Schizosaccharomyces pombe: one gene and its partner. The protein of the gene in region 1 interacts with the protein of each later gene in a pairwise test. Each region holds a gene or a part of one and is shown on either strand. Other genes may lie near its edges. The genes, in order: ppr5 and uaf2.

The links.
Region 2: the proteins of ppr5 (region 1) and uaf2 interact in a two-hybrid assay, tested with the Schizosaccharomyces pombe proteins (one large-scale study listed by BioGRID).

The regions. Positions count from the first base shown.
Region 1 is NC_003424.3:4,602,748-4,612,237, reverse strand, and holds ppr5 (PPR repeat-containing protein Ppr5), read right to left. Parts: upstream 5,421-9,490; 5' UTR 4,607-5,420; coding exon 821-4,606; 3' UTR 501-820; downstream 1-500. Other genes in the region: pdx3 (pyridoxamine 5'-phosphate oxidase), read right to left, coding at 1-107; SPOM_SPAC1093.07 (uncharacterized protein), read left to right, coding at 6,095-6,331; protein mug157, read left to right, coding at 9,017-9,091, 9,257-9,490. UniProt on the Schizosaccharomyces pombe protein: Mitochondrial RNA-binding protein that acts as a general negative regulator of mitochondrial translation.
Region 2 is NC_003424.3:5,322,425-5,328,175, reverse strand, and holds uaf2 (U2 auxiliary factor small subunit Uaf2), read right to left. Parts: upstream 2,583-5,751; 5' UTR 2,566-2,582; coding exon 1,915-2,565; 3' UTR 1,741-1,914; downstream 1-1,740. Other genes in the region: SPOM_SPAP8A3.07C (phospho-2-dehydro-3-deoxyheptonate aldolase), read left to right, coding at 67-75, 347-1,456; ski7 (ski complex-interacting GTPase), read right to left, coding at 3,370-3,730, 3,768-3,852, 3,893-4,864, 4,925-5,398, 5,454-5,649.

The DNA of each region.
Region 1 (9,490 bases):
GGGTCTTTTCCCATAAGTGCATCTCTGTGCAAACTTGATTTTTCATATTGATAGCGAGAAGGTGCAAAAATTAGCTTTTCGTGGGTGGAATCAGTATTTTCAGACATCGTGGTAAACGGGATTGGAAAAGATACTTTTCCTCGTTTCAGGCAGTAACTGAATTTATATGAGATATCTGTTTTGATATATATATAACGCGATGAAACGACTCAGTATCACGCACTAAAGAAAATGCTAGCAAAAGACGTGTCATACGGTACAGCATGCTAGAGCTGGTTAATTTTAACACAAATCGATCAAATTCTATGTCTTTTTAAATTGCCATGAACGATACCAAGAGTTACTGTCATGATACCAAAGTTTCAAGCATTCTTAAGCTTATCCCTGAAATTGTAACTGATGTCAATTGGGCACTTATTAAAACAGTGCTTCTACAGTAGCGGGAATGTTTAAAAGTATTATGTAAACTGAAGTTTTTTAACAACTATATGCCATGGTAACAACATTGTTCTCAACTTAGATCATCTAGTAATGTGTGGAACCAAATTTTATTACTTAGCGGTAGTCATAACCATTTCAGCAATGTTTGTACAGGAATGGTCCAGTGGTTAAAAGTAAAATTGAATACGCGATAAGTAAATTCTAGACATTTTAATGCATAAAATTCTAAGTTCTATATTAATCTATAAAAATATTTTACATAGCATCAAAAAAGATGCTTAAAATTATTTCAAGGAACGAAATAAAGATACATGCCAATAATCAAATATAATATATAAGAATAGCCCAAATCTCATCCAATTAGCACACAAATTTCAGTCTAATTGATAGAACTATTAATTGAGTGTTGGGTACTAGCATTTCCTAAAGAAGCAAGAGAAGAGTGACTAGTATTCAAAGAACGACGTTTAGGTTTCTGACCCATATGGCTATTTACCAAGGAAGAAATACGATTAACAACCGGTAGCGGGTAACGCTTGCGTTTCAATTGTTCCACAATTTCCATTGCCTTTCGACCGTCATTTACACTTAGGTAGGCACGAACCATATTTTCATAGGTGCTAGGTTCCTTACCAGACATACCCTCGCATTCTAAAAGGTCGAAGTAATAACGTGCTTTGCTAATCATGCCAACCTTAGTAAATCCCTTTATAAGGGCATTTACAATGTATGCATTTAACGAGACATTGTAACGCTTCATATCAGAAACAATTTGAATGCCTTCAACAATGCGGTCATTTGCAATAAGAGATTCAATTTGGGATTGGAATAAGTTCGCATCTAGTTGAATTTCCCCGGCATCATGTTTGGCAAGAGCATTCATGTAGCAACTCGTGGCTGCCTGAACATCCGAAACAACGTTTCCTAAAATATGAATATATGCAGCATAATGCATAGATAAAATTGGCACATCTGTACGCTCCATAAGTTCAAGAACTGCCTTTACGGAACCTACATTGACAGGCTTCAATGTACCATAAGCATCCATCAATAACTTATAAGTATGAGAAGAAGGCTCTATGTCGGTAGCACATAGCCTATTGTAGTAAAATAGCGCTTTTTCACGATTAAACATTGTCTGGACCTCAAATTGTATCATAGTGTTGTATGGAGCAACGCGAGGTTGATAGTTAGGCTGATTTTCCATTTCAGCAAATAGCTTCTCAGCAAGACTCTCGTCACCAATGCGACAAGCAGCATTAATTACGGTACCATAAGTAACGCTGGTAGGAAGTAACCCCGATTCCTTCATTTCTTGAAACAATTTCCAGCACTCTGTTGTGCGGCGAGCTCGACCTAATTTAGAAAGCACTGCATTATATAGAAAAACAGAAGGTTTCACATTATGGCGTTTGGTCTCCTCAAAAATATTCAAAGCGGTAGTGGCATCATCAGTATCTCCTCTCCTTGTTGAGTTGTTAATCAAATGTGCGAAAGTTGAAGCACGAGGAATATATCCAAGCATTTTCATATTGTCACAAAAAAGATTTGAAGATTTGAACTGACGAGCAAAGGAAGACGATAAGATCATGGCGTCTAAAATCAACGCCATAAACCAGTTCGCTTTTTCAAGAGACTTCGTACTGATTTTCCTATAGAGGTGCTTGGAATGCTCAAAAACACGTTGCACAGCATCAAAACGTTTATTTTTGCTTAAAACAGATATTAACGTAGGATAAACTTCAGGATGCAAAAATTTATTGGTTTCAATAAGCTTACCGAACTGGAAAAACAATATATTAACGTCCACCTGCTCAGGTGATGCACTTGTTAACATTTTGGAAACAAGTGAATTTATACTTTGATCGATGCATTCCAGGTCGTCAAGGCAATAACAAACTTGCGATATATCCGCTAAAATTTTCTGTCCATTGTTATCAGTAGAGAATCCGACGACTGCTTCAGAGACGATGTCATCTCGAACGGATGCAACCAGCATTTCGTCTTCTTTCAGGTATGTGAAAGAACGTAAAACAACATGAACGTTTTTGAAAGATGCTTTATACGTTCCATTGGAGTAACATTTTAACAAATCAGTGAGGATAACCTTAGAAGTGAAAGTACCTTCGGTTTGCACGACATTGAATGCTGCATATTCCAGCAAAAAGCCAAATACTCTAGGAGAAATGAGCTCCGGTTCTAAGCGACGGCTAACTAAGTAACCCGTTATATGTCGTAACAACGGAGTAGTAAAATCAACTTGAGGGAAGTTTACTTGGTTCTCTAACGTTGAAACCAACGATAAAAGAACATGCACATCTTTTTGTAACTCCTCCGTCAACACTTCCCAAAATCCATTAAGGATTGATAATTGAAGAGCAACACTATTAGAAGATGGTGCAGTATTGTTACCAAGGGAAACTTTTGGATCAATGTGTTTACGAAGTAGACGAAGTGCAACATCAATCTTTCCGTTCTCAATGAAAGCTTTGTAAACGTTCGAAAACGTAAAGTTAGTGTGAGAAGACACAGAACAAATAACGGGATATGCATGTAAATGAAGTAGATCGACATTCCCTGATCTGGCAAGCAAGTCCAGATAACGGAGAAGCACTGCATGACAGTCGCTAAATCGAGATAATGTATATTTTCTCACAAAAGCAATAGCAAACTTGTCGTTGTTGTTCAAACAAGCCGCCTCCAATATGGACGATAATGTAGACGGACTCGCTTTGTAAGTGCTAATCTTTTCTATAGCCATACCAAGCCATTCAGCAGATTCCTTATAATGTCCTAATTGAGCCAATCTACGTAAAAAGCAGTCTAATATTGAAGACGGTATAACTTGATTGCTATCAGCCTTTCGGAAAAAAGATTTCATCAATGCACTTGCTTCAACATGGTGATCTGTGTCAAAATAAGCTTCCATTAAACCTTCCCAAGAACGCACATTAGTCATCGAAGTGTCACTAGTTGGATCAGATAAGTTATAACGCTCTAAAAGTTGAAAACAACTGTTGAGCCTTTTAGCTCTACCGAGAGCTCTAATTAGAGCTGGGAGTAAATCAGGATGGCCGTTAGCTTCAATAGTGCCAAGAGGAACGCACTCTAATAAGGAATCCAATTGGCTTTGCGTTCCATACAAAGAAACACTCTCAATTAAAATAGCATAAAATTGAGGAGAGTATATGAGATCGTGATTAATGAGGCTAGAAGTAAACATGAAAACAGCAGTTTGCAAAGGCATCTCGGATTGCAGATCGAGCAATTCAGGCTGTATTTCTTTTGCAATACTCGGATGTGCGTAAATAGTGCGCTTAGAGAGTGATTCAATTTTTTGATGCACGAATTTAGCGCGACGACAAAGAGCGAAAATGACGGTTTCAAATGTAGTTACGTTTGGAGAGATAAACGAATTAAGCATATCGACATAAACCTTGATAATTTTTTGAATGTTTTTTGATGACGACAAAAAATAGTCGTCCGTACTCATGCATTGCAAAACAATATTGTACGCTTCCAAAGTCAATAGTTCAGGAGAGTTTCGAACAAGCTTATACAGATCAAAAGTATGAATGGATAATTTACTACTAGCAAGTCTTTTCAAAAATTGAATAAACTCATTGGCAGAAGTGAAAGAATTCAGAGAAATTGAAGCAAAAGAAGATTCCAAAGAATTAGGAGTTAAAGTATCCAGTAAAGGGTCCGAAACTTCGGACTGGGTTTCAGTTGAGAGGGGAGATGTTGCGAGAGAGTTAAATTGTTGTTCATCATCTACATCACCGCATGTCGAGTCACATAGTGACGAGAGAGAAGCAGGTAAAAGAGAAGCAGAAAAATGTGAGCTGTTAGGGTTGAGATTGTCAACAAAGCGATGAAGGGACTTGCCTGGAGGAGATTGCTTACGCTCAGAAAGAGAAGGATCGAAGTAACCAAGCTGAATACTACGGTCATGGAAGATAATGTCATCCTCAGTTAAGAAAAGACGCTCATCCAATGAACCAGGTGCTTTCGTGTTAGAGAGAGAGAGGTTCGTTTGGGCTTGTTGTTGTTGAATCCAATTCGTCATATTTCCAAGCTTCAAAGGAGGACGATGAACGGCAACATTTTTGCCAAGTGTTTGTCTGGCAATATTTTGCAAAAACCAAGCTTTCGTGTAAACCATATTGAAACTAATATTAAGCGTAAATGGGATAATAGTCTAGAAAATAAACAAAAACGGATATAAACAATCTAAAAAAAAATTAGACCAAAAAGAGACACAATAAATAGAAAAAACGTAAAACAAATGAAATGAATAATAAAAAGAATAGTAAACACCCAAAGAACACAAGAAATGAATAAAAAAGAGAGAAAAACGGAAACGATATGTATAGCTAAACGGTATAGCCGACCACCAACCAGAATATCCACTAACTCAGGGAAAGAAGACTAGCAGGACAGACTATAAAATAGTACAGCAAAGGTTAAATGAAATGGTCACTGAGATTTGAAATATAGAATAAATCAAGTGAATGTGTTATGTACGCCTGGTAATGACGAGCCTATCACCGTTATCAGATGAACTGCGTTATAGACCAGAATAAGAGTGAAATATACACAAAGCAAACAAAGGAGTGCTAGTTGGAGGGTACGTAAAGATTCAAGGATTGAAAAATAAAAAGATAGAGCAATCCTAGCACTCGCAATTGAATTATCAAAGACAAATAAAAATTCCAATAAAGTCAAATGAAGAAAGCGATTCGAATACTTTGCTTATAAAGTAGAATTTTTACAATGTTTTCAAAGTACGATCGTCTTAATGGCAAGTGGAGAAGAGTATATATGACGATTTAAATCTGATCAAGCGTCAGCAGTGGCGAAATGAAACAAGACGCCGATATGAAAATTACAAGAGGAGGGTAATTTAGTTATATCAAATTGAAGCAGGGGAGTGGAATAAATGAATGAAGAAATAGATGGGAAAAAACAATAAACCTGACGAAATCTAATACACCGTGCCAAACAAAAGAGGATTGGGTAGAAAACCTAGGTACGTTAAACCGAATAACAAAAAAAAGGGAGAGAAAATGATAGAATAATTAAATGCTTAGTTCATCTAAAATGCGGAAAAAGAAAAGCGATTTGAGCTTCAAGAATTTGTTGAATGAATAACAGATATGTCTGTAGCTAATGAATCCTCAGAAAAGGGCAAGGAAGTAGATCTATAAGGGAAGTGTGTGCTTGATTAATTAAAACACCAAGCACAAGTTTCGTGTGTTTAAGCTTCCAACAGGGAAAGATGAGGATGGCGACGCAAAAAAAAAAGCGGAAATTTTTCACAATCAACAAAATTATTTCGTTTTGTTGAAAAACGAGCTGTTACAGGGCAATAAGTGTGAAAATAATCTATTTCAACAATTGTCTAGTACGTAGTAACAGAGTATTCAGTATGGCTTTCGACAAGTTCAAGTTTAAAATTGAACGAGTGATATTTGTAGTTGGTTGGTCGTAGCAATTTTGTGAGACAATGAAGTCAAAGTCACGTTACCCCGAATAAGAAGTCTTAAAGATAAGGAGCTGCTAAATATGTGGTAAAAGATATTCTGCACCCGTTGATAATTCGACGAATTTAGCGAATGTTAGTTTGTCAGGATGTCAGGTATGTATATATATGGAAACCAATATTTTAGCGTGGACCAAACGAGCCTCGTCGGTGAAAAAAGAAGATAAAAAAAATTGTGGATCGATTTTTTTGAGACAAGTTTATCGTCCCAACGCAAATTCGAAGGCGGACGATATTGAGATAGATTTGAGAAGCGGAACTAGCGCCAGTTTTGCCGCAGCTAGTAAAAGGGGACAGGTTAGGAACACATTTTATCGGGTAAGGAGATTTTCCAACAACTCCTAAGTTGGGACTAAGCAAAATTCAGGAAGGGTGGGAAATTACAAAAATAGCACGCAAGAGATGAGAAGTAAGAGTCTATTGTGCTAGCTGAAAAATCCCGTAGGCAGACAAACCTACGAATCGCATACAGGTGCAGAAATAAATAAATACATGGCGAATTTCATTATTAGAGAAATACGTGAATCCTAAACTTTAAACTATACTTCGCGCCTAAGAAAACATTTTTAGACAAAACAAAATTCATTGACCTTAAAACGGGTACTTTTAAAATAAGTGCACTAAAGAATAATCAAGCTCCTCTGCGCACAGTATCTCAACCTTATTAGAAAGAAAACTTGCGGAATTACTCATTAAATAACCAGATCATTTAGAATCACGAAGTATGGAGGGAAAACAAATGGCATTGGTATGATTTTAAATACACAAGCCTCCATTACTGTCTGAGCCTCACTCTCTGGAAGCCCTCCAATCGAAACGTTACTTTATGGAAAGAAAGGCATTATAAAATGTATCGATGGGGTATGCTGTGAGTTGTAAATGATCATTGCTGACATATATCATGTTGATCTGATAAAAAGTCATATGTTACAATGGTAGAAACTCGAACGAGTGCTCGGTATATTGAATATACAGCACTACTTTGATATTCTCGGTATAGATCGGCAATTTGCAATATAACAATTTATAAATGGTAGGTCACTGTAGTTCAATATTTCAAGAGTATCTAGGTTGCCATAAAGGTTAGCGTGGTATTGAGAAAAGGATGAATATTATCAAGAATTGACTCCGTAGATCAGTCTTTATCTATTATATTTCTTAATTGTTCACTGCTTCCCAGTCATGATTCACAGATCGACAATTGACTTAGTGTCGGCCCACTAGTATTGTAGCCAGCTTTAAAGAATGTCTTGTTGGTCTATACTAACAACCATAACACTTAGAACAATAAACTAAATCGCAATCTTAACAATTAAGTACAAGCGCTAATCCGAGCAAGGTAGCGCATTCGAACCTTTAACGAATCTGTAATACAACAGAATTCGTGACCTTTATTTTTTTAAAATATCTAACAACAACCTGTGATTGTCGTAAATGCTTTTCTAATTATTAGTTCATGATAAACAGATTTGTAATTCTTTAGTTATAGCACCTTAGAGTTCTGTGCTGTAGTATAAAAATTATTGTAGTGTGGAAAAATTGATTAAAACATATGTGAAAAGCAAAGCTTTTTCCAAAAAAAAAAAAAAAAAAAAAAAAAAAGAAAATAAATTAATAAATAAATAAACTATTACAATGAACATACTAGACTGCAGTAAAACCCTTTCCATCTAAATATTTTAAATATGCAGTATTCGAATTTTTCTTTTACTTAAATAACCAAAAATAAAAATAATTCATACGTATTACAACATAAAACAAGCAACAATGTTTGTGATTTAATTATATACGCATCGCCTTCTTCATTTAAAATACGTATGTGACGGTTCCCTTGTTTGGTTATGCACATCTATTTGTTTACTTTTTAAATATTGGAATAATGCTGCTAATGTAAAGCCTGCGACCTTCATTAACTGTTAATCATTAAAGAATAGGGTAAAAAAATCATCAAGAAACAAAATAGTCGGTGATAAAGCAAAAAAATTGCATTATGTAGTTTTGTTCCGATATCTTGTTTTTTACATTTTTAAACGGTACTTCAAAAATACAATGCAACCACCGAAGACTTCAAATAATTTAGCTTCTGATAAATAATTTTAGAAATTTATTATAGTAATAATTTAATCTACAAATTTCGCAATCAAATATTAGTTTGGATATATGAAATCGCTAATTTTTGGATATTAGGTTATTCAGGTTATACACGTTAAACAGCAATTTAACACTTGCATGCAGTGTCCAATTTTAAATTAGCTTTCATACAAAAATTGGCTGCTATAAATTATGCCTGCAAGATAGTGTGATATTATAGAATTTTCTTCATTCTAATATTCTTTTGTAATGTTACTGAAAGAATTTGAATAACATTAAACTTCTATATTTTTTCTGAAAGTATGCAGGTGACAGTAAACATAGCTTCTAAAAAAACAAAGAACCCTTTTAAATTTAAGGAAAATGCTCAGTTGTAGAAAAGAAAGCATGCATGTCTTAAATTGTATTTTTTTTGACAACATTCAATAACAAATATAAAAATAAATTTGAAAATTTTGTTTATGCTTGCTTCTTTTTCGCTTTGATATCTTGCATCCACAATCCGAGTACGTTAATATTTCTCGATTGTTTGCCAAGTGATCTATTATTCAAAATTATTTATTTTTCTGTTGAATTTCCTACTGAATAAGCTTATATCGTTCTAATGGTGTACTCGAAGATATTGCATAAATACCATCTCCAAATTGATTGTTATTATTATTATCTTTCTTTTAATAAAATACTTCTACGTTTTTTGAACCATCTTACTTTGCTTTTTGTATCTAGAATTGAGGAGCAGACGCGATTTACTTAATGTATGATCGCATTGAGTCGAACGTGTTGTTAGTTGTCAACACTTACTTTATTTTCATAACCTCACATCCAGTTTGCTTCGTCAAGCCATAAAGTAGCGAATAGCAATATTAAATTGATTTGAATGTTTAGAAATTTAACTTAAATTTTTTATTTCATTCAAACATCGTCGTCATTTTCCAGATAATGAAATATTGGCAGGCAATTCTATTTTTCCTATTTGGAATCGCTTTCGCGAACAATCTTAATATTCCTTGGAAGGTAAAACAAAATTTTTTTTAGGCTTATTTCAACCATAACTCGAATAGTCTTAGTAAGCCTGTGAACATGGATTTTATTCGACTTAAGAATATAAATCTACCTTACTGAGATTCTTTCGGAGAAATGGTGACAAATTCAAGTGTTTCTAATCTAACAATTATTTAGGCATGTCCTAATTACAAGACATACTCTGGAAGGAGACATTATCCAGCTACTGGCCCTTTGAGGTTACCGTTTCAACGACCAGCAACATCATGCCGTACGTTTCATTCTAAATCGGTGGAGCAGACTATTGAAGATGTGAAGGAGCAACTTGAGGATGAAGATTTAGCACGTTTATTTGAAAATTGTATGCCAAATACTCTTGATACTACAATTCGTTGGCATGCCGCTGATTCA
Region 2 (5,751 bases), 720 kb from region 1:
TACTTGGCATTCAACAACTTAGGAAGCACTCTTTGACCTAAATTTATTAATTCTATTTAATAAGCCATGTCTCCGGTAAGTAACCCCAATTGGGCATCCAAAGAATTTTGCTAGTAAAAATTTTCATCAGTCGGAGAAACAGTACTGAAAGTTATCTTATTGAGTTATATAGTAGATTTTACTATGCGGATAACAAATTTGTTTTTGCTGATGAATTTTTAGGCAATTGAAATTTTAAATTTTTTTGTTTCTTTTTTTTGAAATTTTTATTGCTTTATGTTGATTGCTATGTCCAGCATGTTTGGTCTTTTTTTTTAATGTCAATTTGCTAACATTATTCAATTAGGTTTTTTTACCCAGCGGTGAAACTTACGATCAAGAGCATCTTGATGACAACCGTGTCTTAGGTTACAACCCTTTGGTTCCTGCCGCTTTGGTTCAACAAGAGATTCCTGTTTCTGAAACTTCTCGCAAAGTCATCACTGACTCCAGAAAGGAGATTCAAGCTATTCTCAACAAACAAGATGACAGAATTATCGTTGTTGTCGGTCCTTGCTCCATTCATGACCCTAAATTGGCCATGGACTATGCTAAGTTGCTGAAGCCCAAAGCTGACGAGCTTCAGGATGCTTTGTGCGTTGTCATGCGTTGTTATTTGGAGAAGCCCCGTACTACTATCGGATGGAAGGGTTTGGTCAACGACCCTAACTTGGATGGTTCTTTTGCTATCAACAAGGGTATTAGGATGGCTCGTCAAATGTATTGCGACGTTACCAATTTTGGCATTCCTTTGGCCAGTGAGATGTTGGACAACATTTCTCCCCAATTCTTCGCCGACTTACTCAGTTTTGGTGCTATCGGTGCTCGTACTACCGAGTCTCAATTACATCGTGAATTGGCTTCTGCCCTTTCCTTCCCTGTTGGTTTCAAGAATGGTACTGATGGTACTGTTGGTGTGGCGATTGATGCCATTGGTGCTACCGCCCATCCTCACACAATGCTAGGAGTTACTAAACAAGGTCTCGCCGCTATTACCATGACCAGGGGCAACAAGGATACCTTCATCATTTTGCGTGGTGGTAAGAAGGGTCCTAACTATGATGCTGAGCACGTTGCCGCCGTTCGCAAAGATCTTGAGAAGGCCAACCTTCCTCCTCGTATCATGATCGATTGCTCTCATGGCAACTCAAGCAAGAATCATTTGAACCAACCAAAGGTCTCCAAGAGCATCGCCGAACAAATCAGAAATGGCGACTCTTCCATTGTTGGTGTTATGATTGAATCTCATATCAATGAAGGTCGTCAAGATGCTCCAATCCGTCCTGGCGTTAAGGATACTCTCAAGTACGGTGTCAGTATCACTGATGCTTGTGTTAGCTGGGAACAAACTGCTCCAATGCTAGACGATCTTGCTGAAGCTGTCCGTGCTCGCCGTCAAAACCAAAAAAGTAATTAAGACATATAAATGTTATATTCAGCAGTTTTAATTTTTTTAATTTTTGAAACTTATTTTTTCGTAACATACAACAACTGAACAATTTTGGCTTAAATACGGGTTCTATTTATTTTTTTTTGTTTTTTTTTTCTTATATCGTACACAGCTTCTACCAATAACACCTTCGTTTTTAAGAATTGCTGTGCAAGTTTTGCGAAATGTTTGATCGTTTCATATGTTTCTAATCGATCTCCTTTAGCTTGTAATCAGCCATAGGCACATTGGACACAAAATTTAAAACGTCTATGAGTACAGTTGTACAAAGATCAAGTTTATTAGTAAACAATAAAAGAATGCAACATCTATTTAAATAACCTAAATCACAACAAACTATAGCCAGAGATTAATCATAATAAACGAAGTAAAACCGTACAAAAGCAAACCAGAATCCAAAACAAATACATTCCATAAGTTGCTATTTAATTTTTGCGTTCAGCAGTTACACTGACCCATCGATTCGTGGAATCACTATTGGGCTCCTTTTTCATTTCTTCTGCTGCATTTAAGGCCAAATACTTTCTTTGTGCTAGTACCAAATCGCGTAAAAGCTGAGGACTTGGTTTTTTGGCATGCATAAAATTACAAAGGCCACCCCGCTGACATTCCGAAGTTTCGTGTTGCCGGCAACATGCCTCGCGAAAATCAGTTACAGGAGATAACTCGGCGTAGACTGGTCTTTGGGAATACCATCGGGAATTTAAATCATCAATAGCATTTTGGGCAGACTCTTCATACTTGAATCTTACATAAACATTTCCGACTAAGTGATCTCCAACATTGTCACAGACGACTAATTGTTCAACTTCACCGTATTTTGAAAACTCACAAAACATGTCCTCGTAGAATGCATCAAATTGTTCTGCAAGTTCACGCTGCGTGAACTTTTTGCCATTTGGTTCATGAATTGGGTTTTTATACATGTTGGGACATAAGATCGTTTGACTAAAATTTGGTTTGACATGTTTACGAGAGCAGCGTTCCCCATGTCTACAAGCTCCTATTTTATAATAGAATGAGCAATTGACTTTATCTTGCTCAGTACCATAAATACTTGCCAAATGACTTGCCATTTTTATATGGTGGTTATGAAATAAAGTGATCCAACATGATTCTAGTCTTATAATGGTGGCGTGCAACATCTCGTTAAGTTACGCAAATTTTCTAAATTATTCTTGCACACTATTGTCAGCAGTACTACACTACGCTATGATACACTACGTTGCGTATCACTATATGTCACATGTTCTAATTATATATCGTACCATGTATGATACGATATGGAGATTGATCTTAATGATAATCTATTAAGATCTATATTATCTGAATACTATAAATAGAGCTACTGCTGAACCTCGTTCCTCAGTTCAGTTATGAGCTATATTAGTGATAGGTAACATTATAACCCAGTTAATACAATACCTATACTCAGTTGCTACTTATATAACCTGTGTATTGTAATATAATAGATCACAAGGAAAACTCACCACAGTTCTACGTATCCTTAAATCAGATACCAAACTGCGTAGCTTACAACTATCCGATATACAGATATTCCCTTGTATTTCCCTAATTATATTCGAATTTGGAAAATATCAAGAATAAGTAGTTACTGTTATTAGACTGATGTGCCAACGATTCAAAAGAAAAAAAGATAAATTATTCTTAACACAGCACATTCCTTTTTTTTGCTCAGGAAATTTACTCGAGAACAAATTGTTTCCAAATGTCACGATGCCTGAGATGTACGCAAATGAACAACATCGGTAGTTTTACAATATTTAAAACAATCTATAGAGAATTTCTTTAAAAAGGACGGAAAATTTTTTCGAATGCAAAATTAATATGGAGTTGAGTATAATACGTAAGTTAGGGATTCAGTCATGCAGAGATAGTACTGTTCCAAACGCAATTAAGCTATTCCATTTTTCTGAAACGAATAAAACGCGGCTTAAGGTGTTAATGTAGCTTTCTTTTACGAGAGGGAAAGCATTCTCTAATTCAATTTTCACAAGTGAGGTTCGATTTCTTTCAAGATCGTTTCCGATTGCGTTAGGAGCTTTTTCTTGACTGTCTGTAAAGCAATACAGTTTGGTAAGGACTGCGTGACAGCCGAATAGGGCTATTACATGCATCGACTTTCCTTTTTCAAGAGAACCGTGAAACCAAGTTGCATTAACGTAAGCAGTTTTCGAAGAAGTAAAGGCATCGATACTATCAGCAATTAAAATCCCAGGACTATTTATTAGAAATACAAGAATTGCAAAGAACTTACCATAAATTGGGTAATGTAGGGATTTTGGCTTGAATCATATCCCCAGCAACATTAAACCCTTTGGGATTTTCATCACTGCTCAGTCCTTTTTTGATTAACATAAAATAATTGAACACCTTCCGTACCTGTGATTTGTGTTTCTAATCTCCCTGTGCCTACATAAAGCTTTTGCGAATCCTGAAGCATGCCTGAATGGATGCTACAGTAAATATGTGATTGATTTTCTGGCAAAGGAGTAATGTGTGAAATTGTTAAAGAGAGAGGTAGATTAAGAAGAAAATTCCATGTGCCATGATTTGTATCTGCTTCTTTATCAATTTTGCCAAGCAATGTATCAGATTTATACCACTGGGATAATTTTTCTTGACTAATGGATGTAAGATTGGTTCCTTTTAGTCCGCTTATCGGAATGAATTTTGATTTCTCAATTATTCCGCAACTTTCTTTCAGAAAGCTCTGAATCGAGTTAACAAGATTAATGAATTTATTTTCATCCCACTCAATTTCATCCATCTTAGTGATAGCAAACATATAGCTTGAAATAGATAAGCCATTCATCAATTGTAAAATGGAAGATATTCCATCAAGACCTTCCAAAGGATTCAGACAATCAATGGTGAAAATGGCTGTGTTCATTACTTGAAACAAACTTGAATGTTTTAGAAAATTATCTCGAGAACTTGCATTAGTAGTGAAGATTCCTAAAGGAAAATCAATAATAGTTGAGGAGTAACTGTTGGAAAATGTTTCAAAATCATACCATTTCGTTTTGGTGGACTTTAGCACTGAGCTCAAACTTTCTTTTTTGGCATTCAGTACTGTACATTTTTGCATGGTTTTGGGATCAAATGATCCAATTTGAAAAAATAATCTAGAAAGGAGTGTTTTTTTACCAGACTTGGGCGGGCCCAACAACAAGAGTTTCGTTCGAGGCTTTACTAATTTGGAAAGTTCAATTAACTGATCTTGGGAAAGTAAGGTGTGATCATTATTTGAATCATTAGTATTTTTTTGAGGTTTCAATTGTTGAGAAACTTTCTTCATTGACTTTACAGAGTTTAGCAATTGCTCGTCCAAACGTTTGTGTTTTTGGAAACCTGTTTAACAATTAGCGCGAAAAAAAAAGGAAAAGATGAATTGAAGGAGACAAAGCATACTTTTAGATTTAGATTGAGCCATCAAAACTATGTCGTCAGGGCTAGGGGCGTTAAATCCTAAAAGTGAACTTTTGCTTAGATGAATCTCAATTTGGTCCTCAAAAACGCGCTTCTTTGCGCCTGTAAGACATTTCGCAAATGAGGAAGGAGGAGCTAATTTTACCTCTTGGGGGTTCTTCTTCAGTTGGTCGCTTTCCACCATTTGTTTTTGGAGTGTGGTTTTATCATCATCGTCAGTAAGATGAATTTCATGAGACGATGGTTGTTCAGAGTCTTTCTTCTCTGCAATGCGAACCTTTCGAAACCTTTGCAACAAAAAATCATTTTCAACGTTTTTCTTATGTTTAGCTTGAATAGGCTCTTTTTCCTTTTCCTTTTCGGTTTTAGGCGGCTGCTGTTGAGTGGATGGAAAAGAAGAATGCAATTTTTTCCGTTCAGCGGCGAGTAATGCGAGCTTGGATGTTTTTTGTTTCTCTATGAATGTTAATTTCTAGTTCTCCACTTTTTGTGACTAATTATAATGGCGTACCTGGAACTACAAAGTTAGTGTCGTTAATTGTGTCACGTTCTTGATGGTCATTTGTGCTGGAGGATGGAAAAAAGTTGGGAGAATCAGAACTTGAAGAGGAGTCTTGTTTTAGGATAGAAGAAAGACCGATGGGATGTTCAGACGGAGGTTTTTGTTTTGCTTTTTTGGAGTTTAACAACTGAGACAACCTAGACATATTTCTAAATGAAAATGATGGATCGAGACAAAAAAATTACTCATTAAATAAGTCTATAATAATATACAAAATGCAAATCAATTGCTCAAAAGCTCATTAGCA